Linked DNA regions of Mus musculus: all the other regions are reported to be linked to region 6. Evidence: microRNA targets listed by miRTarBase, many of them from high-throughput screens and not tested one by one. Region 6 holds a microRNA gene; each other region holds the end of a gene's coding sequence.
The links. Region 6 holds the annotated microRNA mmu-miR-342-3p (UCUCACACAGAAAUCGCACCCGU, at 1,728-1,750, opposite strand). A microRNA usually pairs through its seed, bases 2 to 8, with sites in the 3' UTR of a target mRNA and lowers its output. Matches are read on the target gene's strand: a 7mer-m8 pairs with bases 2 to 8, a 7mer-A1 pairs with bases 2 to 7 and ends in A, and an 8mer does both.

Region 1: miRTarBase lists Scamp1 as a target of mmu-miR-342-3p. Seed matches in the 3' UTR shown: 8mer at 1,397-1,404.
Region 2: the mRNA of Atl2 is a reported target of mmu-miR-342-3p. Seed matches in the 3' UTR shown: 8mer at 2,249-2,256.
Region 3: miRTarBase lists Pax3 as a target of mmu-miR-342-3p. Seed matches in the 3' UTR shown: 8mer at 1,286-1,293.
Region 4: the mRNA of Wdr59 is a reported target of mmu-miR-342-3p. Seed matches in the 3' UTR shown: 7mer-m8 at 2,923-2,929.
Region 5: miRTarBase lists Rapgef3 as a target of mmu-miR-342-3p. Seed matches in the 3' UTR shown: 8mer at 1,186-1,193.
Region 7: the mRNA of Sema6d is a reported target of mmu-miR-342-3p. Seed matches in the 3' UTR shown: 8mer at 1,136-1,143.

Annotation. Positions count from the first base shown.
Region 1 is chr13:94,200,361-94,204,429 of GRCm38, reverse strand. It overlaps Scamp1 (secretory carrier membrane protein 1), which reads left to right. Exons shown (of 9, transcript NM_029153.1): 9 at 267-2,997. The coding sequence ends at 431. Among named protein-coding and RNA genes, the nearest start is that of Scamp1, 83 kb to the left of the region's middle.
Region 2 is chr17:79,846,537-79,850,605 of GRCm38, forward strand. It overlaps Atl2 (atlastin GTPase 2), which reads right to left. Exons shown (of 13, transcript NM_019717.3): 13 at 1,854-3,742. The coding sequence ends at 3,623. Among named protein-coding and RNA genes, the nearest start is that of Atl2, 48 kb to the right of the region's middle.
Region 3 is chr1:78,099,665-78,103,733 of GRCm38, reverse strand. It overlaps Pax3 (paired box 3), which reads left to right. Exons shown (of 8, transcript NM_008781.4): 8 at 160-2,467. The coding sequence ends at 426. Among named protein-coding and RNA genes, the nearest start is that of Pax3, 95 kb to the left of the region's middle.
Region 4 is chr8:111,447,180-111,451,248 of GRCm38, forward strand. Wdr59 (WD repeat domain 59) reads right to left here. Exons shown (of 26, transcript NM_001170742.1): 26 at 1,605-3,900. The coding sequence ends at 3,665. Among named protein-coding and RNA genes, the nearest start is that of Gm24793, 30 kb to the left of the region's middle.
Region 5 is chr15:97,742,227-97,746,295 of GRCm38, reverse strand. Rapgef3 (Rap guanine nucleotide exchange factor (GEF) 3) reads left to right here. Exons shown (of 28, transcript NM_001177810.1): 28 at 630-1,526. The coding sequence ends at 748. Gm33531 (predicted gene, 33531) reads right to left here. Exons shown (of 4, transcript NR_168677.1): 2 at 2,709-2,802; 3 at 1,428-1,516; 4 at 1-470. Among named protein-coding and RNA genes, the nearest start is that of Gm33531, 3.2 kb to the right of the region's middle.
Region 6 is chr12:108,656,361-108,660,429 of GRCm38, reverse strand. It overlaps Mir342 (microRNA 342), which reads right to left and starts at 1,810; the gene lies at 1,712-1,810. The region is part of intron 3 of Evl (Ena-vasodilator stimulated phosphoprotein); the gene reads right to left.
Region 7 is chr2:124,664,814-124,668,882 of GRCm38, forward strand. Sema6d (sema domain, transmembrane domain (TM), and cytoplasmic domain, (semaphorin) 6D) reads left to right here. Exons shown (of 18, transcript NM_199241.3): 18 at 1-2,976. The coding sequence ends at 496. Among named protein-coding and RNA genes, the nearest start is that of Sema6d, 13 kb to the left of the region's middle.

The DNA.
Region 1 (4,069 bases), not on the chromosome of region 6:
AGGTACTCCAGTGCATAGACTAACCTGGTCTGCTTCGACCGAACAGGGCAGCTACTGTCTTTGAAGGCGCTGTGTCGCCGTTAATCCCACTATGGCCATCTCCTGTGTTTATTTTGGACCTAGGGTAAAAAGCTGATTTCATGGGTTTTCTTTTCTGTTCCCCCCACCTCCCCTCTGACCTCTGCCTGGTCCTCGCACACGGCAGGGTGGTTTGAGCAAATGTGTGGATCGCATCTCACCATCTCGCCTTGGTTCTGCCTCCTCAGGTGCATGGACTGTACCGCACAACAGGTGCTAGTTTTGAGAAGGCCCAGCAAGAGTTTGCAACGGGAGTGATGTCCAATAAAACTGTTCAGACAGCGGCTGCAAACGCCGCCTCAACCGCAGCAACCAGCGCGGCGCAGAACGCCTTCAAGGGTAACCAGATGTAGCGAGCCTGGAAGCAGTTCTCTGTTTCCTTAGGACTGTATCTTTTTCTCCAGTTACTGTATTCTACAGATATTTTTTGTTGGAAACACACAATACACAAAAGCATGGGTATTTCCAATCCACATGTGCATGGTCTAAAAACCAGAGAAACTTCCTTGTCTTATTACTTTGCCTAATAGTTTCTTAATATTTCCATGCTCTGCACAGAAGAAAACTATCACCTGCTAAATAAATATTCTCCATATTTTTGGGGGATGGTGTTCCTCAGATTATTTCAGTGGTGACACACTGAAATGAGTATGTGACTTAAGATTTAAAAAGCGCTCGATAGTAACCACAGAAGTTCTTCCAGGAGTCAGTAGAGATTCAGACTATACATTGGACATGACACCATGTTTCTTTCTTTTCCCCCCTCTATTAATAACGAAGGAACAAGGTCAGCAAAAGTTTGGGTGTTTTTAAATTGGCTTGCTTTATATGAGGTTCAGTCACCAGAGAAGAGCCTGTGTGCTCTGTAGTAGATAATGTATATTTTACCTTCCTTTATTTTATTTTTAGACTAGTTGATTATTTTGATAACAATCTCTGATCTTGCATGGGCACCACGTCTCTTAAGTGAAATGAATTAGTATTTTGGGTTCTGTACTGCTTATAGTTGTAGGATCTGGGGCTCTTTATAGAATCAGAAATGATTTTCTGTAATAGTTTCTTTTAAGTAAAAATTTACTGGAGTATAAAGACTTTAATATAATGTGCAGTGCATTATCCAAAGAGAGGGTAGTGAATTGATGCAATAGAATATAGTGATAATTTCTTTTCCCTCTTAATTTTTAGTATTCATATAGTAAAGTTTTACTGTATGAAAACTTTGATATATTCTTCTGTCTTATCTTTTTAATTGAACTAGGATTTGTGTTTGGCAGCTGTGTGTGTGTGTGTGTGTGTGTGTGTTTGTTTTTGTGTGTGTGTGTGAGAGAGAGAGAGAGAGAGAGATTGATTTTGACACAGGTATTAAGGCTAGCCTAACCCTTGAATAAAAAGAACACACAGTATTTAAGGGATTTTTCTTTTAGCCTCTCACTTTTAGTTACATTAAAAATAAAAGACCCTTGTGATTCTAATATGCTTGATTTCTTAATGTACCTGTCTTTTACTTTTAAGACAGACTAAATCCATGTGAAACATTGCACCAAGCAATGGAGAGAAAGCTCAAGTAATATATTCATTATTGGTAACATCCAATTTACATTGTTATGGTGCAGCACAAACTGATGTGGGTTGAGACTTTTAATCATTTTTAATGCTGATTAGCTGTCTCAAGAACATTTGTAAGGCAGACTGTTGTAGTTTGGAAGTCTCACTAGTTTAGATTGCAAAATGATAGATAGGCTGCAACTTACCCAAGTTGACTTTAAACAAAGATGGGCTGTCAAAGACAGGATATCCTTTAAAAATGAGCTGAAGTGAGTGGCTGAGCCACTGTACCCTGTCCCCAAGGCTGCAGTCGGGGACTCTGTGCAGAGCTGGGGTGCAGTTCCTTGAGGTCTGTGGTATTGGATTATACATCTGCCCATGCAGGGCCATGCTAGATTTGCTTGGGAATTTACTAAGTACAATAGTCCAAAAATGTTTCTTTGATTGAGGAAAAGGTAGAATTCAGAGTATGACTTTGGAGTTGTGTTTTGAGTCCCCATGAGTAGGATTCCCCTTCGTTCTCACCTGCTCATGTGTGGCTGCTGAGCGACTGTGCTTCATCCAGTGTGGTTTGATGGACACTGAGGTCACTAAGGGTGTAAGAGTTCACAGAAACACCAGTACTTATATTCTAAATCCAGGCTTATTCTTCTCTGATGTACAAATAAGAGACACATCAGAGATTCACAAAATGCTAATAGTTTTTTATTTTCAAAATTGGGAATGTTCCCTGTCCATTATGTGGAGGTCCCCAGAGGTGGTATTATTAAATGGAAAAGAATAGTTATAACTCACATTATGTTTTTGCGTATGAACAAGGAAAATGCTGTTTTCAATCCAATTGTTTGGATTCATACACGTTTGAAAGAGATTATGTTGTTTGAAAACACAAAGGAGCTTTACAGCCATGGTGGTGTCTGTGGCTGGGTCAGGTGGGAGCGGCTCGAAGCCCTTACCTGCTGTCCTCTCAGCAGCAGTCTGTCAGCAGTGCACTGTGATTTGGTGAAAGCCTGTTGACGTCTTCTATTCAATCCCAATGTTACTGCAGCCATGAGACGAGCTGCACGAGGACAGGCATCCATGTCACGTCTTAGTTGGCGATGTTAAATGGTGACTGTTTTATTTAAAACTCGGGTCTGATCACTGGAAACGATTGCTTGGTGATTTGTGATTTGGGGCTCGGTTCATTGCTCTAGGGATGTTTGTGTATTGTGTAGGTGCGTGTACTACTGCGCTGCCCCTGTGGTATGTCACGGTTCTGTGTAAACGCCCTCCATGTGGCCCTCTCATGTTGCATGTTTTCAGTGGTTTGGAAGTTTTGTATATTTATTGTATTAATGCAGAGTGTCATAAAATAAAATAATGTTTACTGGATGTTTGTTTGTATAATTTTAAATACTGTATTAGCAGTTGAGGCACAAATTATACTTGTAGCTTTAATACAGATACTTATTTGACTTTTATTAAAACCAATCTTTGTACTGTTTTATCACATGCTAAATATAGTATAAAAGAGTTAGTGTAAAACCCTCAGCAATACAATCCAACAGCTTTCCCATTGCATTAGACCTTGATAGGTGCTTGACAGTGAGCCCTACACATCAAATGCTGGGACTCTTGTGAGGTAGGCAAGATTACCTACAAGTTCATTACATTTTTGGCTTAGGATTTTCTTCATGCCAGCATCGTACTGGTAACTAAACCCATGCGATTTCCTGCGCCAGCTTCCGCTGCTGCTGTACACACAGAGGGGTGTTCTGTTGTCTACTGGATTTCTTACCTGGTGACTAACAGTGATGAAAAGTTTAACGTCAAGTCATGTTCACAGCGGATCTTATTTTGAGAAATACATGTTGAATTGAAATAAGAAACAGTATTTTCCATTTTTTTCATTTTAAAAAGTGAGTTTGGATTTTGACACGTAGGGACATCCTGTGATCTTGTGGATGCGGTTTATACTGAGGGATGTGAGCTGTCTGACAGTGGTCCCTGCAGGTCTGTTGGCAGCACTGCTGTGTGTCACTGTGCCCATCCTGACACGCTGATGCTGACGGCTGACTCGTAGTCACATCTCTGCTTATGTTCCACAGTTCATCACATCTGGGACACACTGTTTCTCTGTTCCCTTCCATTTTCCCTTAAGGAGTAATCCCTAAAGGGGTCTGTGATTCCATGTTAGTAAGCCATTTAGAGACGAGGGGCCGGTTAGTTTAAAATAACTCAGAATGGCTAAAGTTACTCTAGACCTTACTTAGATAGGTTTTTCAAGCATCATATTATAAATTTATTTATAGTAGAACAATACAGTATAAAATATTTGAGCTGTTTTTCATTTTTAAAATAATTTTTAGGTAAACATAAATTTTTTTACATATATTGTTTATTAGACTAGTAAGTTGCACTCCAATGATTAGGAAAATGAAATAGTTATGTAAGAAGATTTGGG
Region 2 (4,069 bases), not on the chromosome of region 6:
ATCTTTGGTGACTTCTGATCTAGATCTTTGAGGAGCTCCTGAAGTCACTCTGCAGAAAGAACATAGGTATTTTGTTGCAATATGTTAAGGACAGTTTCTCTGCCTAAATCCAGTAATATATATATATATATATATATATCCAAAGAAGTTCCTAGGGCCCAGTATCAGAGTAAAGTCAATAAGGCAGTAATTCTGCCCTGATTCAGATTTGGCTCCAATTTGGCTTTGATTACAAATTAACTTTTGAAAAACTCCCTGGAAGTTATCTGATATGGACAGAGGCTAAAGACAGAATTCAAACAAGACAGTAATTTGATGTATAAGGTACTCCCAAGGGGAAACAAAGATGGCTGGCAGAACACAGCTGCCAATTCTTCCCAAGATGAGTTTCGTCATCCCAGGAATGGACAATCAATATGCACATATAAACTCACTTGGGTTAGCAGGAAAGGACTCAGACTGTTAATTTTCAAGCCAAAGTCTAAGTGTGTGATAGAGGCACACTGCCCTAAGCAGCCAATCAAAATTGCCTTCTTACTTACCTGGCTAAAACCAGATCTGTATCTAAAAGGCCACTTGGGAGATGGGGAGAAAAGTGACACATGGGGAGGGGGAGGGAGGGAGGGAGAGGGAGAGAGAAAGCGAGAGAGAGAGAGAGAGAGAGAGAGAGAGAGAGAGAGAGAGAGAGAGAGAGAGAGAGAGAGAGAGAGAGAGAGAACATCCATGTGTGAATGCTGACATGCAGGCCCTGGTGTGGAGCAGTCAGACAACAACTTCAGTATGGGTTCTTGCCTTCTACCTTGGGGTTGTATACTACTGTTGTATACCATTGCATCTGCCAGGCTATCTGGCCTGAACTTCCGGGCCTTCACCTGTCTCTGCTCCCCATCTTGCCATAGGAGCCCTGGGATTCCAGCTTTTGGTAGGTTCTGAGGATTCAGACTCTACCCCTAATGCTTACACAGCAAGCACTAAGTCATCTCCCGAGCCCCATTATAGGTATTTGTACAGGAACCAAGATCAAACACCCTCTTTAAAGGTGTTTCTTGAAAGGTCCTTAACTAAAATTAAACTTTTAAAAAAGCAGTCATGCCAGAAGTGAAGTCTCTAGCCTGCGTGGTTCAATTCCGCAAGCAAAATAAGCCCCTGCTCAGTGTTTGAAACTATACACTGCAGTTAGGAGCACTTGCTGCTCTTCAGAGGATCCAAGTTCTCTTCCCAGCACCCATCCTGGGCAACTCACAACCACTCCAGTTCAGAGGGACCAGATGCCCTCTTCTGGACTCTGTGGGCATCTACACTCAGGTGCACATACCCACATTCAGATACACAAATACATCATTAAAAAGAAAGCAAAAAACCTCATGAGTGAGATAACACAATTTAATTTTATAAATAAGTTGTTTACAGAAGCAAAGATGACTAGCAATCTATACTCATGAAAGATGAGACTCACCATCAGAGCCCCAAAGGTTGTTCCTTTCGCAAGATGTGTCTTAAAAAGATAAATTCTGTCACTGAGAAAAACCTTTCATCTCTAAAAGAAAGGAAAAACCTATTTTGTATCATTACCCAAAACTGTAGCACAGAAAATGCACCCATTCCAGTGTTATTTTGGTATTTGTCCCTGGCCCCTTCTGTTGTTCTGGTTGCTCTGCCTCTACCTAACAATGGCCAGGGCCTTCCAGACGAAACTAAAGTCTTCCTTGGAGTCCTGAAGATACTTCTAGAGGAAAACCACCATTTTAGCAAGAAACACTACAGCGCCCAGTGGTCTAGACTTTACTTTTAAAAAGAAAAAAAAAGGAGGGGGAGTTTTAAACTGTGTAAGTTTTTAATTTCAGAACACTTGCTAGTATACAACAAACTTTTTATTTTTCATTCATAAAAACAATTTACAGCATTCATAAAACAAAGTGGTCAGAGAAAGAGAGACTGTTCGGATGGATTCGTTCTGTGTAGGAACAGATGAGAAGGCAGCTGCTTACCACAGACGGAAACAAATACAATCCATATAAAGTAGGACTGGGTCAGAGTGGGAGGGAAGTGTGCCAATCAAAGCAAACTCAGACCTTCATGCATGCAACTCAACATCTGAATTCTCTTAAAAACCAAATAGGAGCGATTTAATAGGTCTCTGTAAAGGAGGTTATAAGTACTGGAAAAATGGTAGCTTTACATATATAGCCCACACGCAAACACACACATATTCATTCTCTCTCTCTCTCTCTCTCTCTCTCTCTCTCTCTCTCACACACACACACACACACACACACACACACACGATGGGAGTGGGGGAAGAGATGGAGAAAAGATTAAAATTATTAAATCCCCAGATAGATTATCACAAAAAATATCCCTTACATAAAAAGACACGAAAAATAACTTTTTACACGCTCAGCTTTAAAGTACAATACCTTGAGCTCTAACTCGGTGCACCCTGACCCACCCTCTTTCAGCATGAACAATGTTATATGGTGAGATACACACTTGAAAGAATTCCTTAAAAAAGAATCACAACTTTCGTTTTATATATACAACAAATTTTTAATTATGTACTGAAAATAAATTACAGGAAATAACTTTAAAATGCAACAGAGGACAAGTCACAATAAAACATTCCCATTGAATTCTCTTGGGGGTGAGACTGCAGTGCTCAGGGAAGATAAATATCACAAATATATCAAAACTTCACACTGTCTATGCGTTCACACAGTGACACGAGCCACAAACACTCCTGTCACAGGACTGGACTCAGTAGCCTACCACAGAACCAGGTTTTGCCATAAACTACAAAACTTTTAATACAAAATTGTATTTATATATTTATAATTCATATACATGCCCTACCTGTAATCTTTAGAAAATGAAAGCTACACGCTGTAGACACTCTTAACTCATAGCTGTAGGCAACATTTTTGGATGGAATTTTTCCCCCAATAAAATTAATGGCATATTTTATGTACATGAAGGCTAAACTGCAAAAAGACAGTTCAGTTTCCCAGATAATGCATCTCCTTTCAGGGCAGGTTTACAAATTTAAAAAGGCAAGACAAATGTACACCTCAGAATTACCTTCTCAGCTACAAGAGTTCTCATGTGATTTGTGTGAAGTTTCTGAAACATGCATTTATGTAATACTGGCAATTGAAGGCAGTAAAGCAATATACACTTTTAATGTAGTGGCTCGGTAAAGGCTTCATTGTCATTCCCATCTGATTCTTGATACAGTGATTCATAAATTCTCTAAAAATTAAAATTTCAATGGGACACTATATTAAAGAGACTCTAAATAGATTTCTTAAAATATTTCCCTGAAATATCCTTTTACATAAGACAAATTTCACTAACATTGAATTCGGTAAAAAGAAAGAAAAGAATTAACCATGGCACAAGTGTGCATGATAACCTGATGCTCCTCAGGCAGTCACCGAGTCTAAGGAGACAGCAAAGAAGGCTGCAAACCAACAAACAACGTTCACACTCTGTGGCGGCCATCTGTGAAGCCAGTTACACTAAACTACTTCTACAGTTGATTGTAAACTTTGGTTTATTTTATCTGAGTTCTCATTGTACAGCAAGCATGAACAAGGGAGAGTGGAGTCCATGAGCAGATGAACTGTCAGTCTGTCTTTAATCGGGCATGATGAGACACCTGGTCAGTCAGGCCTGCTTTGATAGAGTTTGTTACAGACTGCCTTATGTTTTCCTCCATCAAATTATCACCCAGGGGCTTCAATACCTGTGGTATGAGAAATGTGCAAAACAAACAAAAGCATGAGGTAAAAAAAGAGTACATATAAAAACAGATATAAAAAATTCAATTTAAATTAATGACAAAAATAATCAGGAATGTGAGAAATAAAAAGATGCTTCTCCCAAAAGAACAAAGAAAAAAGAAAAAGAAAGAAAAAGTTATGATGCTACAAACAATGCAGTTAAGACATTTTATAATGCAACGAAAGTTACTTTCCTCTTACTCAAACCATTTACAAATCCTATGAGACGGATGTGCAATCCATACCCTATGTGCAGCATCAAATCTGGTATGTATACAGCATTATGCAGA
Region 3 (4,069 bases), not on the chromosome of region 6:
GTGGCTGCCACTTTGAATTGGGGTCAAAGCCTTCAGAAAAGCTCCTCAATGGCTGTCTAGAGACATAAAAGTTGGCCTTTCAAGATCTTGCGCTGTTTTTGGGGCTGCCATCTGTTTCTGCCCACATTTTAACTTCTGCTCTGCCCGTCATCATTGCAGGTAATGGGACTTCTGACCAACCACGGTGGGGTACCGCACCAGCCTCAGACCGACTATGCTCTCTCCCCTCTCACTGGGGGCCTGGAACCCACGACCACGGTGTCAGCCAGCTGCAGTCAGAGACTGGAACATATGAAGAATGTGGACAGTCTGCCCACATCTCAGCCCTATTGTCCCCCCACCTATAGCACCGCAGGCTACAGTATGGACCCTGTCACAGGCTACCAGTATGGGCAGTATGGACAAAGTAAGCCTTGGACGTTCTAGGGGGTAGTTCCTCCTGGAAGGGAGAGAGATCACCTCTTGCTTGAGAACGGGGAACTGGAGGCATGTTTAAGCCTTTCATCCCAGTATCATTTTTTTGTGGCAAAGACAGCTGATTGCTACAGCACAGGCTCCCTTGTGTAATTATTTGCTTAACTGATGTCAATAACATCTTGCAGTTATTAATTGCTGGGACGGAAAACCGGATTGTCAGTAGGTAAAACACAGAGGTTGGCCAAAATGAAATAACCTCTAGCATTAGAAACACATGTTCTTAATGAGGTCAGCGCCAGGATCATATGGGGATAAGCCCAGGACACAGAGTTGTGTCAAACTTGTCTCAGGAATAAAAATATTAGTCTCGATCCTTTGATACCGTGGTATTAAATATGACATTGTCAGCCTGTAGCTGATCTTGCCCCTAACTGTGAATTGTCCCAGCATGACCTAAAAAGCTGCGTGTGTTTCCTTACAGGTGCCTTTCATTATCTCAAGCCAGATATTGCATAAGTGAACTGTCCACTTGGAGCCCTGTTTCCGGCCTCCACAGACTAGACATGAAGAATCTTCTCAGAAACAAAACAATAAAAAAAATTTAAAAACAAACAAAAAATAAATGAAAAAAAATTCAGCTTTTGGGGGAGGTGGAGACAAAAGAGATTGATTTTCTTTCTCCAGTAGTTGCTTTCAGATTCTTTGAACATATTGGACAAAAGGCAGGGGAGACAAGGAAGACCCAGAGCTCTAAAATGCACCATTTTTAAGACAGTGATGTAACTGGCTACATATCAAAATGGCCCCAAATCTTTGTTGCTGATCAAAGAAGCTAAAACATTCCGTGTGTGTGTGTGTGTGTGTGTGTGTGTGAGAGAGAGAGAGAGAGAGAGAGAGAGAGAGAGAGATTGATTTTCACGGGGTGGTTTGAGTAAGCAGAATGTTCCCATATATTGTAGTTGAATTCCTGAAAGTTAACAGGTTTGATGTCTAAGGCTGACCAAGTTTATGACATTCACACTGCTTATGTAGTGAATTGGGAATGGAGAAATCCTTGATTTTGACACACTGGAAACCGATATGAAAACCAACACCACCATTGTATAGGGCACTAGACTAGATGTGAAGGATCTCCCCAGTAAATTATTACCATACCTTCATTTGTAACCTAGTTATCAACCGATGTCCCTGACATGTCTTGTAAAAAGATGTGGGATAATGAGAAAAAAGTGTGTTATCTGCTGTGGGGATAGATGGATGTCATTTACTTCCCAAGTCACATTGATTTGGAGGCCAGTTGGTGGGGGGGGGGGAAGGGTATGATGTAGAGGAAGTGACACCCATCACATATCTGCTTCTCAGCGTGCAATACTGTGTACCTCACAGATGCTTTGGCAATGGCCAAGGTGATAGAAATGAAATCAGAACTATATTTTTGCAGGTGTTTTTATTTTTGCAGCCCATAACTCATCGTAGTAGAGTGCAGTGATGTTTGCTCGTTGCCAAACAACTCACATCCTGCTTGTTCCTTTTGTTCAGAGACCATGTCTGAGAATCAAGCTCTCTACAGAGATGGTGTTTACATTCGTCTCTTTTCTACAAAAGGCAGGGCTAGAACAGAAATGTCCACGTGGCTCTCATGTACTTTTAAATTATACAACGATACCCAATATTAAAGGATATAGGGAACAGGTTTACATACATTCATGTGGTGACATTTAGGATGTCAATAAATCTGTGTTTTGAAATGTTAAGAGAAAGATGAAGGTGGGCGGTGCTGTTATTTATTTCTTTCTATTCTTGGAACCATGAATGAGGTAGGCACAAATACATTCCCTTTAGATTTAAGAACAATGAGGTAGTGTGTTAGCAGGACTAGACATAGAACTGAGTTATTTTATACGTTGGGCAGGGTGATGGAACAGGAGACATAGTATCTTTGTGTTGCAGCCTCAACCAACAATGATGTGTTGTAAAAATGTCTTTCATGTAAAAAGTGCAGTAAATATTTACTATTTATAATGAATAAACAGTTAATGAAAATGTGCCCAACACTGCTTTTGTGTGTGTGTGGGGGGGGGGGGGGTGCTGAGGATGGAATGCAGAGTGAATGAGAAAGGTGGCTAAGCTGGGCACTGTGGACCCATCCTACTCCTGGTCCCTGGTACATGAGACTGTGACATGGACAAGAGTTACATATAAACCCAAGACGCTGGCTTAAACACACTCTGCAGGACTGAGTTTACAATATCAGGGATGTGGAATCTAGAAGTGCGCCCTCCCTCTCCATCTACCCTCTTTGGTTTCTTTGGTTCTCTCGGAGATGTCAATTCCTTTCAGCCTCATTTATAAATATGTATCTCAGTACACCAGGATCTAACTTCATCTCCCAAAGTTCTCCACATTGAAAATTTTATTTTAAAGACTTTTGTTTTAGCAACTCATTTCAGCCTTGGAAGGAAATAGTCTACTTCTGTCATTGTTTTCCTTTCCTTCTCTTCTTCCCCTATTCCTCCCCACACTTATTTCATGAGAGTCTAGATGTGGCAGGTGTAACACTAGACACTGGCATTGCGACGGCACAACGTGATGAGTCAGGGGGTTGAACTTCTGTTTCAATACATTTGGATGGTTACTTATTATAAGGCGATTAATCAACACCTACTAAACTCTTGTATTCACTTACTCCTCTCAATGTCTCATGTGATGTCATTTCAACTGTGTGACAATCATCTGTAGCAAGAAATTGCTGTATTGGGTAGCATTGATGTAGAACATTCTAGAACGTTGTGGTAGGGAGTTCTGTTGGTCAGCTGATTTAAAACACATGGGATTTTAACTATCCAGAGGAAATGATATACAGTAGGTAAAAGTTTCCAAATTTTAAAAATGCCTATACTCTTTTCAGCTTCCACTTGCCCTTCTGATCCACCATGTTGCTCTTTTTCTGACAATTACTTTTTTTTAAAATTTAAATAATACAGTTGTAGAAAAGGAAGATAATTGTCACCAAACACTTGCTTTTTGTCAGTTCTCACAGGACTCCTGTGAGGTGAGTGTCTTTTGCTCTGTTTTACAGCCAAGTGGACCCAGGTCCAGAGTTGTTAGGTTAGGCTGGGCTCATACCGCACGTAGGAGCAGCAAAAGCAAAGCTCAATTTCTACCAAACGTCGGAGTAGGGGCCACATAATTTTACCTCTCCAAAAGCTGCTTCAGATACTCGTTGCATTATACGAGTCTTGTGCCAAAACCCAAGTTGAAAACAGGCATTTAAAAAAGTAATTCCTTCTCGGTGCATGGAGACATGCTGCCAGGACTCGGATTTCACAACAGAAGCTGGTCTTCCCAGGGCCCTCTCCTGCCTGCCTCCTGACCCCAGGACCTGCCATGTGGGGCCCAGCTCTCCTTCTGATATATGTCTTTATGCCCTTCTCTTATTTCTGGATGTCTTCGAAACTATTGCTCTGTTGGCAGTTCTCATGTTCAAAGTCTCCATAGATCTTTCTTGCTCTGATTTTTCTTTTCGTCTAATCAATCTCCAAGAAATCGAACGCCTGACCTCCCCTGGGCTGGAGTCCCAGCTCTCATCTTTTGGGACAAGCCACACTAAGGGCTCTGAACTCTTGACATTTAACTAAGCTTGATCCTGTTT
Region 4 (4,069 bases), not on the chromosome of region 6:
TAGCTCCTGCTGCATTAAATCCCCAAAACAAAACAAAAACCCTAGATCCCTCCCCTCGATTCTACTAGCCCTTCAAAGCAGCACTGGGAAGGGCTGCCATGCCCACTGTGGATCAGCAAATGCAGATTGTATGCATCTATAGAGTAGAAAAACTTATTAAAATTAAGCATAATGGACTCTCCATAGTGTCCATGAGGAAAGTGTTAAGTCCTGTGGTCTGAGCAGCTTGAGGTGGGAGGACAAATGCAAGCTGGTGGTCACCTAGAACGCATGGCCCATTCTGCTTGGCAGGGGGCTAAAGAGCCCCTGGTACCCTGGACAGCTAGCACTGCTTTCCCATGGCAAAAAGTTTTTGTTTGTTTGGTTGGATTTGGTTTTTCAGGATAGGTTTCTTCTTTGTGTAAGAACAGCCCTGGCTGTCCTGGAACTCGCTTTGTAGACCAGGCTGGCCTCAAACTCAGAGATCCTCCTGCCTCTGCCTCCCAAATGCGGATTAGAGGCGTGTGCCACCATGCCCATGCCTAGTGTTCTCCCTGGCAAATTCAAAGGTGTTTAGGACACAGGTTATAATATTTTAAAGAGCAAATAAAGCCCAGGTGTGGTGGAATCCCAGCACTCTGGCAGTCAGAGGTCTCAAGTTCAAGGTCAGCTGGGAAACACAACGGTGCCCTACCTCAGACGAGCACAGTAAACCAAACCAAGAGGACTTAGCTATGGTAGAGAGGCTGCTGACCCCACCAGCATCCAGACCACTGTGTTTCCAAACAGGGATATTTCTCACAAATACTAAGTTTTTGTCCTGGTAACTTGGAAATGCAAACAGAACTGACCTATTGAGAGATGTTACATAGTGTCTTGTTTTTATTTTATGCATAAAGAGTGTTTTGCCAGCATGTCTACATAGCATGTGCATGTCTGGTGCTGACAGAGGCCAGAGAAAGGCATCTGATCCCCGGAATGGGAGTTACAAACGTCTGTGGCCTGGCTTATGGTTACTGGGACTTGCATCTGGAAGAGCGGCCAGTGCTCTTAATCACTGAACCATCTCTCCAGCCCCCTATGAAACATGTTAAACTTGAAATGACTTCATAGTCACTAAGAAGGTTTTTTTGTTTTGGAAGACAATGTTCTTACAGAAATAATCCACACAAGAAAACTATGTCATTCTAAACAGGGACAGGGCTTCCATTAGCTTCACGGTGGGGTAGAGGAAGAGACCGCTCTCTGTAAATGGTGTGAACTCACAGAGGACCCAACAGATCTGTGTCTGTGCACATCAGTCCGCCTGTTGTGGGACCAGCATCACGGCAGTGTCGACACAAACGAGGCTGGAGGAGTACAGTGTAATACACTCAGATACCTGCGGCCCTTCCTCCCCCATCCCAGCACACCGGACTACACGTGCTGCTGAGGCACTGGTACCAAACCTGGCACATAGTTCAAGATCAAGCTTATGCCACGGAGTCTCATGACCAATTAGTAATACAGGGGAGAGGTGAGGCCCACCTGCCACCATGAGATATAAGTACGTGTGTGTGTGTGTGTGTGTGTGTGTGTGTGTGTGTGCGCACGCACTAGTAAACAAAGGACATCAGACTGTGTTAGTACACGATTGTCTCTCACCCACATTATTTTACTTTCTTTATATGACAGTTTGGGGGCTGGAGACAAAACAGTTCTGACTTTGCAATCATGAAGATCCAAGTTAGGATCCCTGAACACACATGACACAAGGTGTCCTGAAAAGACTGATAATCCTAGCACCAAGGAACCAGATGGCCTCTTCTGTCCCACACAACATACACTTGAAGACACAGAGATTTACACACACAAAGTAATCCTTGAAAATAGAAAGTGTTGGTTTTTATCTACGAGACTGATTTCCTAATCCATTCATGAGTCTTAAATCATAGTTTCAAACAAAGTGATATACAACACTTACCTATTATGGAACATGTAGTATTTTGTTTTGTTTTAGTTTGAGTGTCAGTGTGTGTGTTGCTGAGGATCAAACACATCACCTCCTGTATGCTAGCCAAGCATTTGATTACTAAGCGATCTCTCCAGATCTTCTTTATGACGTTTGCTTGTAAGTGTCTTCATATATAAGTGAGGCTGGCCATCACCTCACTGTGTAGCCCAGGATGGTCTCAAACTTGAAACCCTCTTACCTCAGCCCCGTGAGTGAAGGGACTACAAACACGTGCAACCATAATCCAATGACACAAATTACTTATGTGTCTCCGGTTAATTAGTTTGGAATCATAAAATTGTTAAATTACATTTTTTGTATGTGTGTGTGTACATTCACATATCAAAGCACACATGTGGAAGTCAGAGGACAACTCTTAGGAGTCAGTTCTTCTATGGTGGCTCATGCGAGGGAGAAAACTGAGGTTAGTAAGCTTAGTGGCAGGCACCTCTGCCCACTGAGCCTTATGACAGGCCCAAGGAATTTAAATTTCTAAGAGAGAGAGATTTCAGTATAGTGGGTCTTGTTTTTTTTTTTAAACTCTCTTCCCTGGTATAGACAAGTGAAACCCCTGAAAATCATGATGAGTTTGCAAGGGAGTTCAAGTAAAAAGTACCCCTGGAGCCCAGCCAGCCTGCCCAGAGGCAGAGAGAGACTCTGGTATCAGTGCTGAAATGCAATCTCATTTCCCCTGTGCTAGAAGAAATAATTATGAGACTCTTGCGGCTAGAGAGAACCTTAATGTCAGATTCCGTTTCCTCTGTCAGATGATCAAAGTCAAATGGCATTTCCTTTACAAGTCATGAGACTAATTCTAGTCCGGTCCAAAACAGTTCCCTTCAACCAGAAGTACAATGCAAAATGAGTCACTAAGACGGTCACTTTCCTTATTCATCCTCTCTCTCTCCCTCTCTCTCTCTCTCTCTCTCTCTCTCTCACTCACTCACTCACTCACACACACACACACACACACACACACACACACACACACACACACACAAGTACAAACTTCTATTAGTTAAAGGAAAGCAGATGAAGAGAAACAGAAAACATATACATCTTAAGTTTCTTATGGGGCTGGAATGTAACTCAGTGGTATGGCTGCTCACCAGTATGTGCAAGGCGCTGAGTTCCAGCCCTGTACCAAGAAAAAGAATGCTGAATATATGTCCATCATATATTACACTTTAGTATTGTATTTTATAAGGCCATCATCAAGGTGCCAACTTCTAAGTCACAGATACCATAGCTCACTTGTGGATGGCACTAAGAGCCAGCGTCTTCTGGCTCAGGAGTCTGTTTTGCAGCTGCTGTGTGCCTTTGTACTGGCATCTGGAGGGTCCATTCCTGGTTCAAGGACAGAATCTTGAAGGCTGATGCTAGCTCTGATGGCTCTGGAAACAGGTGCTTTTCCTCATGAAAACATCCACTGTGGACTCAACAGACAGTACAGGAGGGTCAGCTCTGTGCGTCCCCCTCCCTTCTTCCAGCACCATCCGTGCCCGGCAGCCAAGGAGAAGGGAACACACAGGATCACGAGCGGATGCTGTGACAGTCTGTGAGAGGATACTCTCCATCCTAAATCACGAGGATGGCCCTGGTTCTAGGACTTTCCACCAGCAGCAGCAGAGAGCCTTCTCCAGCACTTATGGAGTCCTCTGGGATTTCCGGAAGTGCCACTGTCCTTTAAGTTCAGAAGGTGCTCTCCAGCAGGCAGTGGCAGCCACACCCCGTGGGACATACCTCCTGGGTCCGAAACCACTCCATCATGTGGCTCGTGTGGCCACCATGCCCACAGGTCAGGCAGAAGTTGGATGAACCCCGCACGGCCACATGGCAGATGGCACACTGGAAGGTGAAGCCTTTGCAGATGGCGCACTGGGTGCCACGGACCTCGCTCCGACAGTGACTGCAGTACACACCAAACTCTGCAAATGGGTGGACAGGGGCAAAGCAAGAGGAGACATTAGTTCTAATAAAAGCAGACTGAGTCTGGCTGGGTAAGGATACCGACTCCTCTCAGGACCCTGTCAGGCTCTGGCAGATCAGTCATTTCTTCCTTCTCTCTCATCCTCATGCATTTTCTTTCTCCCTGGT
Region 5 (4,069 bases), not on the chromosome of region 6:
AGCTCTCACTGGCCAGGAACTTAACAAGTGTCCTGGGCTGTCAGACTGGCCCCAGCGATCTGACTGTTTCAGCATGGGAATTACAGACAAGTTATTAGGACAAGCAGTTCATGCCCTGAGCTATCCCTCCAGCTTTTGTTTGCTTTACTTTTTGGCTTTGCTGGCCTGGAACTCATTATGTAGCCCAGGCTAGCTCCAAACTCCTAAAGATCCCCATGCCTCCACCTCTTGGGTGCTGGAGTCAAGGCACGCACCACCATGCCTGGCCATTTCTTGTTTCTTGAAACAGGGCTTGGAACTCTCCATCCTCCTGCCTCAGCTTCGGAAGCTCCCGGATTATAAACGCGCACCACCATATCCAGTCTGTTTTAGTTCCTTTTGACCCAGAGAAGGGGTACTATGCTGAGATAGATCTTGGTGGGCGGAGGGACCTTCTTTCTTCAGACTTTGCATCCACTGCCCTCCTGACTCTGTGGTGGGAGAGACAGTAGTCTGGGGACTTGGATTGAGAGGATGTGAGGTAGGGGAGGGGAGAGAGCTGAGGCTGCTCCCCGGAGAGAGAGGTAGGCGTGGTGACCTGACCATGGCACCTCTCTCTCTCTTTCTCTGATGGCTCTCCCTTCCTCCAGGTTCTGAGCAGTCCCTGAGCACCCGGAGTCCAGCCAGCACCTGGGCTTATGTCCAGCAGCTGAAGGTCATTGACAACCAGCGGGAACTGTCCCGCCTCTCCCGGGAGCTGGAACCATGAGGAAGGACTGGCTGGAGCAGGCACTCTCTCCGAGGAAGCCAGAGCCTGTGCAACCAAGAGGTCCAGAGGCCAGCCACAGCTGGGCAGGGCTCTCCACAGAGCGGACTCAAGGCCCTGGAGTGGGCAGTGTCGGGGCAGTTGTCCCTGTGATGACTGTCAGCTATGGAGATCTTTGTTCACGGCCAAGGAAAGGGGGGACATTGAGGCCATGCCGTGGGTAGGAGAGCTGGGAGGTACAGGACTCTGGATCAGTAGAGAGCCCTCCCACCGGGCCTTCTGCGCATCTGCACGTCTGTACATCTGCATGTTTGCAAGTCTGTACGACTGTACGTGCAGCTGTACCATCCAGTGGTCGCCAGGCCTCGTGCTTGTTTTCACTGGGGCCAGTGAGCTCACATCTGCACAGTTTGTGTGTGTGTGTGTGTGTGTGTGTGTGTGTGTGAGAGAGCCCTGGGTGGGGCCTTGCCTGGGAGAGGGTGGAGAGTTCTGCTTTTCTCTCCACACATCTGAGATAAACAGCTGGGTGTAGGCAGGGCTGTTGCCTAGAGCGGTGGTCTCAGAGGAGTTGTATTGTTTCCATAAATTAACAAAGATACGTGTGTGTTCTACCGCCTGGGTGTGTGGCTGGGAAAGCTGGTGGAGGAGGTTGCTCCCTGGGTACAGAAAAGCAGACACCCACCATCTATCTCGGGCTGGGCTCCAGGGAGGCTAGCGGTTGCTCAGATGGGCTCCAGTGTTGTCCCAGGCACTTGGGGGACCCTCAGCTCTCTGAAAAAACAAAAGAAAAAAAAAACCATATATATATATATATATATATATATATATATATATATATATATATATATACACACACACACATACACAGAGACGGAGAGAGACACTATGAGAGTCCAGCTGCAGCTAACATCCTCTATTTTCCCCTCCCAGCAGATAGCTCCTGATCCTGTTAGGTGTCAGATGCTGAGCAGGGGCCTCAAGGGGGTGAGAGAAGAGACTAGACAGAAGACTGGGAGGCCTAACCAATTTCTTCACCTTGGCGATGAGTGTCCTGCCCCCCCAACGCCCCCCCCCCCCATCCCACATGGGCTGTGGAGGTTAAGGCCCTCTTTTCCCGGCCTCTTCAGTCCCTGCCTGGACACAGATCCAGGCCTAGAACCTCCACAGAGGACTGCTGCCCTCTCTACTCTCCGTGCTGGGAGCCTGGCAGCTCTAGACGCATCTGATCTGAAAGCTCCCAGCCTCTAGGATGACCCTGTGTAAACTCCAGGCAGCAGGACTCTCAGGTGTCTGAGGAGGTCTGCTCACAGCAGCGGGCCGGAGGCAGCTGGGGCAGCCCTGTTCTTGTCCTACGGGTGCAGTGGCAAGGCTCAGACTTGACACACTCCTCCCCCCCTGGCCTCCACACTGCCAGACACTTCACTCTGACGTCATGTCAGCGGGCTCCCAGGAGAGATCCAAGCTGTTGGCAAGGACTTTACACCTCAGGTCTAATGAACCCAGGTGTACCAATGGTCTTTCTTGGCCTTCGTTTGTCCATCTGTAATATGGGTATGATATCTGGTCGTTAAGTGACAAACAAGACAGCAGGTGTTGCCTTTCCCAGAGTGACTGTCCCAGTCCTGTGTGTGTGGCCCCGGAGGACAAGCTGCATCTCCCAGAGTAGAGTCTGACACAGCTCTCGGGATGGATTGACTGCCAGGGATGACCAAACCAGTTCCCTCGCCCGTGGGCAGGGAGGGAAGATCTGATGGAAGAGACCAAAGCTGAGCAATCATGAAATCAGGCCTAAGCATCCGTGAGTCAGGAAAGAGTCCCTGGAGCATTCTTGTCCTCCCAGCCATTGTCAGTGTGGCAGTGGAGACCATGCCTGTCAGTCTCAGCTCTGCTCCCATCATGGACTCGGGTGAAACCAGCCCAGCGATGAGACAGACGTTGTCCTCTCCTCGCTGGACACACCTACCTTCTGATCAGAAGTCTGGGCTCCTTGTGGGTCTTCCAGCTTAGACAAGCTGCAGCTTCCTAGCCATTCTACCCCAGGCTGGACCTCTTTGAGCCTGATGGGAAAGACAGAAGAACTCTCTGGACAGGCAGGGAGCACAGACTTGGGGAGTGGATGTCCGAGCCAGGTCACCGCTGGAAGACAGGAGGCTCAGAGTACAGAGTCCTCGTGGCAGCAGGCTCCTGGTGTTCAGGCAGAGGGTGGGGAACCTGCTCCTGCTCCCTAGAAGCCCAGGGTGCGTATGGGTGGGTGGTGGTGGAGACCAAGATCACAGGTCTGCTGAGACAAGGGAGAAAGCCCTAGAGCTAGCCTTTGAAAAACCTGTCACCTAAAGAGGTAGAGCATAGGCGTGTGAGTGTGTGTGGACAAGAGCTGAGCAACCATGTATCCAGGCCCAAGTGTGTGTGTGACTGTGCGTGTGTCTCTGCGTTTGTGTGTATATGTGTGTCTGTGCATGCTTGTGTGCCTCTGTGTGTGTGTGTTATGGATATATGTGTGTGTCTGTATGTATGTGTAGGTCTGTGTCTGTGTATGTCTCTGTGTGTGTGTATGTGTGTCTGTGCATCTGTGTGTTTTGTGTATGTGTGTGTGTGTGTGTGTGTGTAGGTCTGTGTCTGTGTATGTCTCTGTGTGTATGTGTGTCTGTGCATCTGTGTGTTTTGTGTATGTGTGTGTGTGTGTGTGTGTGTATGTCTTTGTGTATGTGTGTGTATGTCTCTGTGTTTGTGTGTTTGTGTCTGTGTGTGTCTGTGTGTCTGCATGTGTGTCTAGTGAGGAGAAGCAGAACGGAAGGAAGTTTCATTGCACCGGTCTGTGACCCTCCCCTTTCCCTTATGGTCCCTGTAAGGGTTATAGCCACAGGCTGAGCTGGGCTAGGACTTCGCTAGGGGAGGTTTTCCTCTAGCAGCGCACAATGCCTGGTGAGGGGTAGATAGGTTGGAGCCAGCCCTCTCCTGTCCTCTAAGCCATTCTGCCCACCATAGGAGGATTAGCACAAAAGTGTGACCCAGCTCAGCTGGGAGGGAGCAGGCTGCTTTCACAGGCTTCTTAGCTCTCTGTCCCCAACAGCCCTGAAACAGAGACCACTCTGCTTCCCAGGTGGCAAAAATGAGACATTCTGACGTGGCTGCTATTCATGAGATTTGTCAGGATAATAATCATCTGAGAATTGAATGGTGCCTCTGCTCTCTGTTCAGCGGGCTTTCCCCTCTACCGCCATATTTTTATCTGATGACAGAATAGGAGCTCAGGCTATTTTTACCTTGTTTCACAGTCAGAGGAACCGAGCTACAGAGATTTGCCTAAGGTCACCTAACGGCTTA
Region 6 (4,069 bases):
TTCCTAACCTCTCTAGAGAATTCAGGAGATACTATGACGATGCAGGGAGGAGATGTACAATGGCAATGTGGAAAGGGAGGCTCTTGTCTTTCTCTAAGGCACTTCTTATAGTCCTAGCGGCATCACACTACCAATGTGAGTGTCAAAGGGGACAGGAGCCCCAGAGATTGTGTATGACAGCGCTTCGATCCTTAAAGCCTCCCTCCCTCTTGTCTACTTTACGTGTGCGTGTATGGAAGCTAGAGCACAGCTTTCAGGAGCTGGTTCTTTCCTTTCACCACTGTGGGTCCTGGGGACTGAACTATGGTTGCCAGACTTAGCAGCAAGCACCTTCCCTTCCTCAACTAAGCCATCTCATCAGCCCTTGTGTCCACTTCAAAGATAAGGAAAGTAAGACTTGGCATGGGGGCATGCAGAAATAGATGTGTTGGGTCTATGTTCACTAACTATAACAGAGTGTAGAACAGATGCAGGCAGCTAGGGCACAGAAGGGTCCCCTGCTTCTAGTTTGTGTCCCTCTTGAGCTGCCTGTGTTGGCTATATGTAGCTCACCTCGCTCGTCTGTTCTCTGAGTATGGAGGACAGGCGTGTAAGATAGCTATGCTCTGGATCACCGTCTCATACTATCATTGGGTCTGTGGGGTTTCAGGAAGCCTGAAGCATCAGTAGCATGTTGCCATCAGTGTTGAGGAAGTGACCTTGGTGCTGGAGGAGAAGGCAGCTTTTCTCTCCTGGGATGTAAACTGCAGATGAGCCAGTACTACTTTAAAGGAGATGCTCTGAGATTAAGGGTCCCCATGCAGGGCACCCTAAAAAGTTCAGGCCTTTCCAGAGACCTTCATGTAAACTCCCCACAGAGACCATGTCCTCCTCTCCTATTAGCACTGTCACATGAGTGGGTGATGAGAACTCCTGCTTTGTAAGGAGAGGCATTTCAAGCTGCTGGAGTGATTTTTCAACTGATAAAGAACTTGCACAATGTCTTGTGTTGCACTCAGAACACCCCTGTGAGGTAGGTGTGACAACCCATTTCACAGATGGAAAAACAAATTTAGAAAGGGTGAGTACTTTGCAAAAGAGCTGGAGAACAGATCTATCTTGTGGGAGGTATGAAGGTCTCTGTGCTCACAGATAAGTACTAGGGAACCAGGAATGCTGAACACACAGAGTTGTCCCTTCAAAGGGAGGGACACATAACCTGTTATCTGCCCAGAAGGTTGGGAGCAAACGTGGTTAACAGCCTGGTGACCTCTGTGCTATCTATGTGGCCGAGACCACACAGGATCCTCCCCAGACTCTTACTGTGAGCTTGTCAATCTACAGAACTCATCTTTATGGAAGATGTCACACGTACTTTACAAAGAGTTTTGATGTAGTCACATCTTAAGCTTTGTTGTATATACAGGACTGAGTTAATTATCACCAGGAAAGCACCAAATTGTGCTGTGCTTAAATGTGCCTAAACTTAATTATTTGGGGTCAGACTCCTGAAGTTTGAACCAATAGTTAGGCATGTTGGACTGAACTGCTTTCTTATCTCTCACTCTGCTGGTCATGGCGGTTACAGAATCCGAATCGAAACCCCACACACTGCCCAGGTCTGCATCCACAGCTCCTTCCACAGCTCACACACATCACGGCCACATTCACGGGGACTTCACCAGGGCTGCTGCTTGGTTTGGGGTGCTGTGCTTCTTGGTTCTGGTGGTGCTCAGCAGGCCAAGGTGACGGGTGCGATTTCTGTGTGAGACAATTCCATTGACCATGTCCCTCAATCACAGATAGCACCCCTCACCTTGAGCCCATTTTCACAGATGGCAAATGGTGCTGGCGGTTCAGGAGCTTCATCGTGGTCTTCAGGAGAGGGTACAGAAGCAGGAAGCGAGGGGTATGTTTGCAAGGTGCACAATACAATGGAAGAACACATGGTGAACCCACTCGCTCACTCGCTCATGCATGCACCACAAACACTTGCATGTCAGTCTCTTAGGGTGTAGATAAATACAGATATGGAAGGCAACTTGCTCCAGAGAAACTCAATAACTGAACCCAGCCAACCAAGAGTCCTGGGAAGGATCCAGGTTCTCTGAGCATCTGGAGTGAATCCACATTCAGAGTGGTACATAAGAAATATCACAAGCAGGAGAGCGCACTACGCCAAGTCATAAAGTAAGTCAAAGGCAAGGTGCATTGTGGAGGGCTGTGCAGGTCATTGACGTAAACAGCACTGGCAGCCAGGCTGGATGGATGCCTGGCCCTTATCTGGAAAGGGAAGTCAAGGCGAACTTGTTGGTTTGTCCATACAGTCAGGAGAGGGACGGTAAATCTATGGGCTGAAGATGAGGGAGCTGGGAGGAGACCATGAGATAGAGTTCTCCTGGGACTTGGCCCAGCACACATCCCTTCCTCCCCAAACATGGTCTAAGGCAGCTGGAACTGTGTTAAGGACTTTGGGTTGTAAATGAGCTCCAGGCCTGCCACATCCCCAAGCCTTGTCAGGGTGTACCTGGCATCAGGTATCAGGCTGGCTTTTGAGGTTCTAGGGACCGGTCTTTAATTTCCACACCTGGCTGAATCCATGTGCTCGAATGTGCTGTGCCAAGTGTTACCGTGAGGATAGAGGCAAAAAAAATACAGTAACAGGGGCACACTGAGGAGAGCGAGGAACTATGGGGATTCTGAATTACGTCAGGCAGGTGAGGAGGGAGAAGGGGTCAGAGGTGGGGAAGGCCTAGCAGGAGCAAAGTGTGAAGGGGACTTGTGTATTGTTGGCATGGAGACTGTTACAAAGCTCAGGTTCTCTTAGTGAGGTGGGTAGACAAACACAGAGGGCCACTGTTTACAGTGTGGCCAGTAGGGGGCAGGGCAGATGGAATGAGCAGAGCCTGGAAACAAAGCCTGGGTAGGAAGTGTGACCTTGGCCCAAAAGGCACACCCAGAGGAAGCCATACCAACAGCCAACATCCCCACTGCAGGGGAGATGCAAAAAACAGTTTAGGAGTTCTATCTCTTCCAGGGAAAAGTTTCATAATTTCTAGCAAAATAAGGTTTGTGGGAAGCAAAACTGAAGCTGACTTCAAGAAGCTCTGAGGTTTAAGACTTCACCCAGGTTCACAGTGAGGAGATAGACCAAGCCTATTCACAGTGAATCCTAGAGAAAATGCTGGCCCCTGGTACTCCTCAGAAACAATCTGAAATCAGCCCAGCCTAATCTCAAGCCTGCAGCCTTTTGATCACTCATCCTCCTGCTCTGCTTCCTGCCCCTTTCCAGACCAAGTTAACATCCAGGATTTCCCAGGCTGCAACTTCTGGTAGCCAGTTCATGCTTTTAAAGGAGCCACTACCTCCACAGAGAGCTTGGACACACTATGTGGCTGACCCCTAACTTCAGGCTAAAGCTGTTCTGCCCTTATTTGTCTTCAAAACTCCTGTCATTACTATTTTTATCTTCATGATCTCATTTCTGATAGGTACTGCATTCTAGATGGGAAATTGAGGCTCAGGTCGTGCCCAAGGTCAGATGGGCTATCAGCAATTGCAGGGCTGCTCCCCTGTGAATTCAAACTCACACCATTGTTGCAGGGACTGGAACTCAGGCTCATGGGGGGAAAAGTATTCTTCGTATGCCAAAAGGAAGAGTCCTAAGCTCTAAATATGGTAGTCTGTTTCTCAGAAGTGTTGGTGGGCCCTGTACTATACCTACTTCGAAGGTCTGCACAGTCTTCATTAGCAAGAACCAAAAGGGAAAAGATGCCTTGCACCTGCCTGCTTCCCAAAGCACCACTCTGACCGCAGACTCCAGGAAGAAATGGCATCTCAGACCCAGACTGGCTGGGATAGGAGGAGAATGCTTGGTTGTGGACCTAGCTTTAATCTATTCTATATAAGCCTCACTCAGGATTGGGGTTAGTTCTGTTACCTACAAAATGCAAACTTGAGGCAGGAAAACATAAGGAATAGTTTAGGATCCTATGACCCTAGCTGGTTTTGGTTTCCACCTCTCTTACGATAATGCACCTGGCAGCCTAGCTCTTTTACCTGCATGCACCATGCACGTAGCTCTCTCTGA
Region 7 (4,069 bases), not on the chromosome of region 6:
GGACCCGGTGGGACCAATGGCTGAGGTCCCACCCAAGGTCCCTAACCGGGAGGCATCTCTATACTCCCCTCCCTCCACACTCCCCAGAAATAGTCCAACCAAGAGAGTAGATGTCCCCACCACTCCTGGGGTGCCAATGACTTCTCTGGAAAGACAAAGGGGTTATCACAAAAATTCCTCCCAGAGGCACTCTATATCTGCCGTGCCTAAAAACTTAAACTCACCAAATGGTGTTTTGTTATCTAGACAGCCGAGTATGAACCGTGGAGGCTATATGCCCACCCCAACAGGGGCGAAGGTGGACTATATTCAGGGGACACCGGTGAGTGTTCATCTGCAGCCCTCCCTCTCCAGACAGAGCAGCTATACCAGTAATGGCACCCTCCCCAGGACGGGACTAAAGAGGACACCATCCTTAAAACCTGATGTGCCACCAAAGCCTTCCTTTGTTCCGCAAACCACATCTGTCAGACCACTGAACAAGTACACGTACTAGGCCTCAAGTATGCTATTCCCGTGTGGCTTTATCCTGTCCCTGCTGTTGCGAGGAAGCTGTGAGGGTACCTTCAGATGAGATACCTGCTTGTATTTTAAGAGAAACAAGTAGCCAAAGAAACTCTGTCACTTTGGTAACACCAGAACTTGCCACATGTAGCTACTACAGCAAGGCTTCTGTGTACTTGCCGGAAACGAAGGGAGGTCCTGCTCACTCCATTTCTTTCGTTTGAAGCAGAAGGGATGTGTAGCCAGGGAAGGCTCCCTTCACCAGTGTAAAGAGCTGATACAGTACTCAGAAGACTGAACAAATACTTGAAAATGGGTTCAATGTAGACTGCCATTCTGTGTGGTCTTCCCATTAAATGTGAACATTTTAATATGTATGCATTCACCTTGCCTCTTGCACAAATGTCAAAATGGAAAGATGGGAATGTCTCAAAACAAAATGAGCTTGGAGATTACCAAGCAGTTTGCTGAAAATTCAATCTTTGACCCAAACTGTAGCAATTTTTATTTTCTGAGTGTGGCACTGTTTTGTTTTATTTTTTTGTTTTGTTTTGTTTTTCAATGCCACCAACAAACTATGTTAAGAGAGGGGCGAGTGTGTGTGTGTGTGTGTGTGTGTGTGTGTGTGTGTGTGTGAGAGAGAGAGAGAGAGAGAGAGAGAGAGAGAGAGAGAGAGATCTACCCATTAGAATTGATTTAGGTGCCCATTGCATCTTTTGTACTATGGAGTTGTTTACAGTAAGCATGACTGAACAAGCACTAACATCCTCCTACACCGGTCCATCGTGTTCGGCTCTGATCAGGAATAGACAAGGCTTCTTTGACTGTCAAGTGATTAACATATGGTACCCGGTGTCAGAACATTTAAGCGTTCTAAATAATTTTGTGCTGCTATCCATCAGAACGTCTATTCCAGCCTTGCCAGCTTAAGAACTTAGAGAAATTAAGAGGTATCTTTGATGTATCTACCAGTATTCAATAGTAACATTTACCTGTCCACTGTGAATCAAAGCCTGGGGCACGCTACTCAACCTTAGACACACTTACAGGCTTTTATTTTGATTGTGTTATTTTATTTTCCATACAGTAAAAAATGTCCTCTCTTAACTCCTCTCACCCCCAACTCCCAAGGCAAAAGAGAAACCAAAAGTAGGACAAAAGAAAGAGACAGACAGACAGACAGACAGAACAGGAATTACAGTTGGCTTAGCAGGGAGGATCTGTAGAGCTCTCGATGATCCTTCCTCCATGTGTGTCCTGTGAGGATTTTGCTCATGAGTCATGCAGGCAGTGACAGTGAACTGTAAATACCACATGTGAGTTTACCTGGATCTGTGCATTTTGTGCCTTATTCACTCGAGTGGTAGAAGTTCCGCGGTATGTTGAGTGTTTCCACTACAGAGCATCATTTCCCATGTGCCACTTGTAAATGTTTTGCAGCCAGCACCTGAGGACTTCTTATACAGTCATAAAGCCACCTAGAGCGATTTGTTGTTGAGCAACGCCGCCCCTTCCCTCCAGGATCAGAAGCAGCACCCACCCTTGCCATGATAAACATTCCATCCCCTGCTGTTCTGATAATGTGAAGTCAGATGAGGGTTCCCAGGTTATGTGGCACCTGCGGAAACCATGTCTAGAGTCGTTTCTATGTAGCTTGGCAGAGCCCACTGATGGCTGCAGGTGTGTAGCCTACTGACAGCTTTGGTTAACCCACTGCACATCACCCAGTCATTTACCCAACTTACTCTAGAAATGTCCACAGCTAAGGAAGGCTCCTGAGCCAGTCAGGCGGAGTTCAAGTGATATCTTGGGACAGTGACCATGGTCTGCATTACTTGGGGGAGGATGGGGTACAAGACACCAGATCATTTTTATACAGGATGTAGAGTACTGATGCGGTTGATCTTTTCCTTCAAGAACATTCTTTTCTATAGAAAAATGATTCCCTGTGATCTTCTGGAAGCTCCAAAGCTGAAACCCTTCAGCTTTGCAACTAAAAATATTACAGTTTAATAATCAATTAAACCAACCAACAATAAGCACTACACATCTGCCACCAACAATGTTGTTTGCATTTACCTTACCAATATTAATCCCAGCGTGGTAACTCTGTGTGACCCCGATAACATTTTGTAACATTGTGCTGCCTTAGAGTTTGTACTGTGAGTTCTATCAGTATTTATGTTGAAATTTCTAACATGGATTCTAGTCTCTATTCTGTTAATTTAATTTTAAATGCTTTATCCATTTGTGCAAAGGTAAACACAGATTGTATCTTTTTTAATGGTACGGCATAAAAAAATAACCCTAAAGTGAAGTGGCTCTATACTGTTTTATAGAGTACTTTAACGTGTATAGATATCTTGTAAACTTGTATTGTGGATGTGTAAATAATATGTACTTTGGGTTTTTAACACCGCATGTAAAGTCAAAATAAAATATCCAAGTCATTACATCCTGCCTTTTGATGTTAACAGGTTTGCACTGCGTCATGCTTTTATGCTAGTCATGCCGTATTTATTAAATATGTTCTTAAAGTCTAAGAACATATTCTTCCCTTGAAATTTTTGTTACCTGGTCACATTATGCTCCATTCTCTCCTTGGAAGACTCTTGTTGAAGGCTGGAGCCAGAAATGAGACAGGCAGGTCAGAAAGCCCCATGACCTAAATAAAGCCCTGCATCCACAGCCAAATGCTTATCTTGGACCTTGATTCACTTAAAGGGAAATTTAGAGTTCTCACCTTATGGGCTGGGGAGATGGCTCAGTGGGTAGAATGCTTGCTATGCAGTCATGAGGACCAGAGTCTGAACCCCAGCAGTTTACACTTAGCACAGTAGCACTTCATAAGTCCAAAGCTCCCAATTGATGGAAGGCAGAGACCAGGGAAACCAAACAGATCAGCTCATCTAGTGTAGACTGGTGAACAAGAGACCTGTCTCAAGATGGACCGCCTATAGCCCTGGATGTCCTCTGAACTTCACACATGCACTGTGGCATGCATGAATCTATACAAAACATGTACACACATACATATACCACGGAAAGATACCACACAAAGAAATCATGACTTATATTAGCACATAAAATATAAATGCACTTTAAGCTGAGAATTACTACTAGCAAACTCTTGTCGATGTTCCATATGTGGAAGGCCTCCACCCCATTGTACAATAGGAAATGAATTCCCTAAATATTCATGTAGGAGGTGAAAGTAGGATTCTGTTTCATTTCCCTTAGCATGCAACTAGCTGTGAGGGCAGCCAACATTAGCCTTATGGTTGGGCACAATGCCCTCTCTGATAGAGCAGTCATATTGCCTCTGCCTGTTTGGTACCAACAGCTTCTCCTGGCCAAAGCCTACCTGCAGCTCTCCTAAGGCCTTTGTCAAAGAACCTCAGAAGCATCTTAGGCAGAGCAGTAGACACTGACATATCCCATCAAGGGTTTCACTCTTTTCATGGTGTCCTTTAACCAAGGGTTGGAGACACCTGTACCTGAGCATTCATTCATTGGTACGAGATGCCTTCGTTCCCTTTGCATATCCAACAGTCCAGAGAGACGA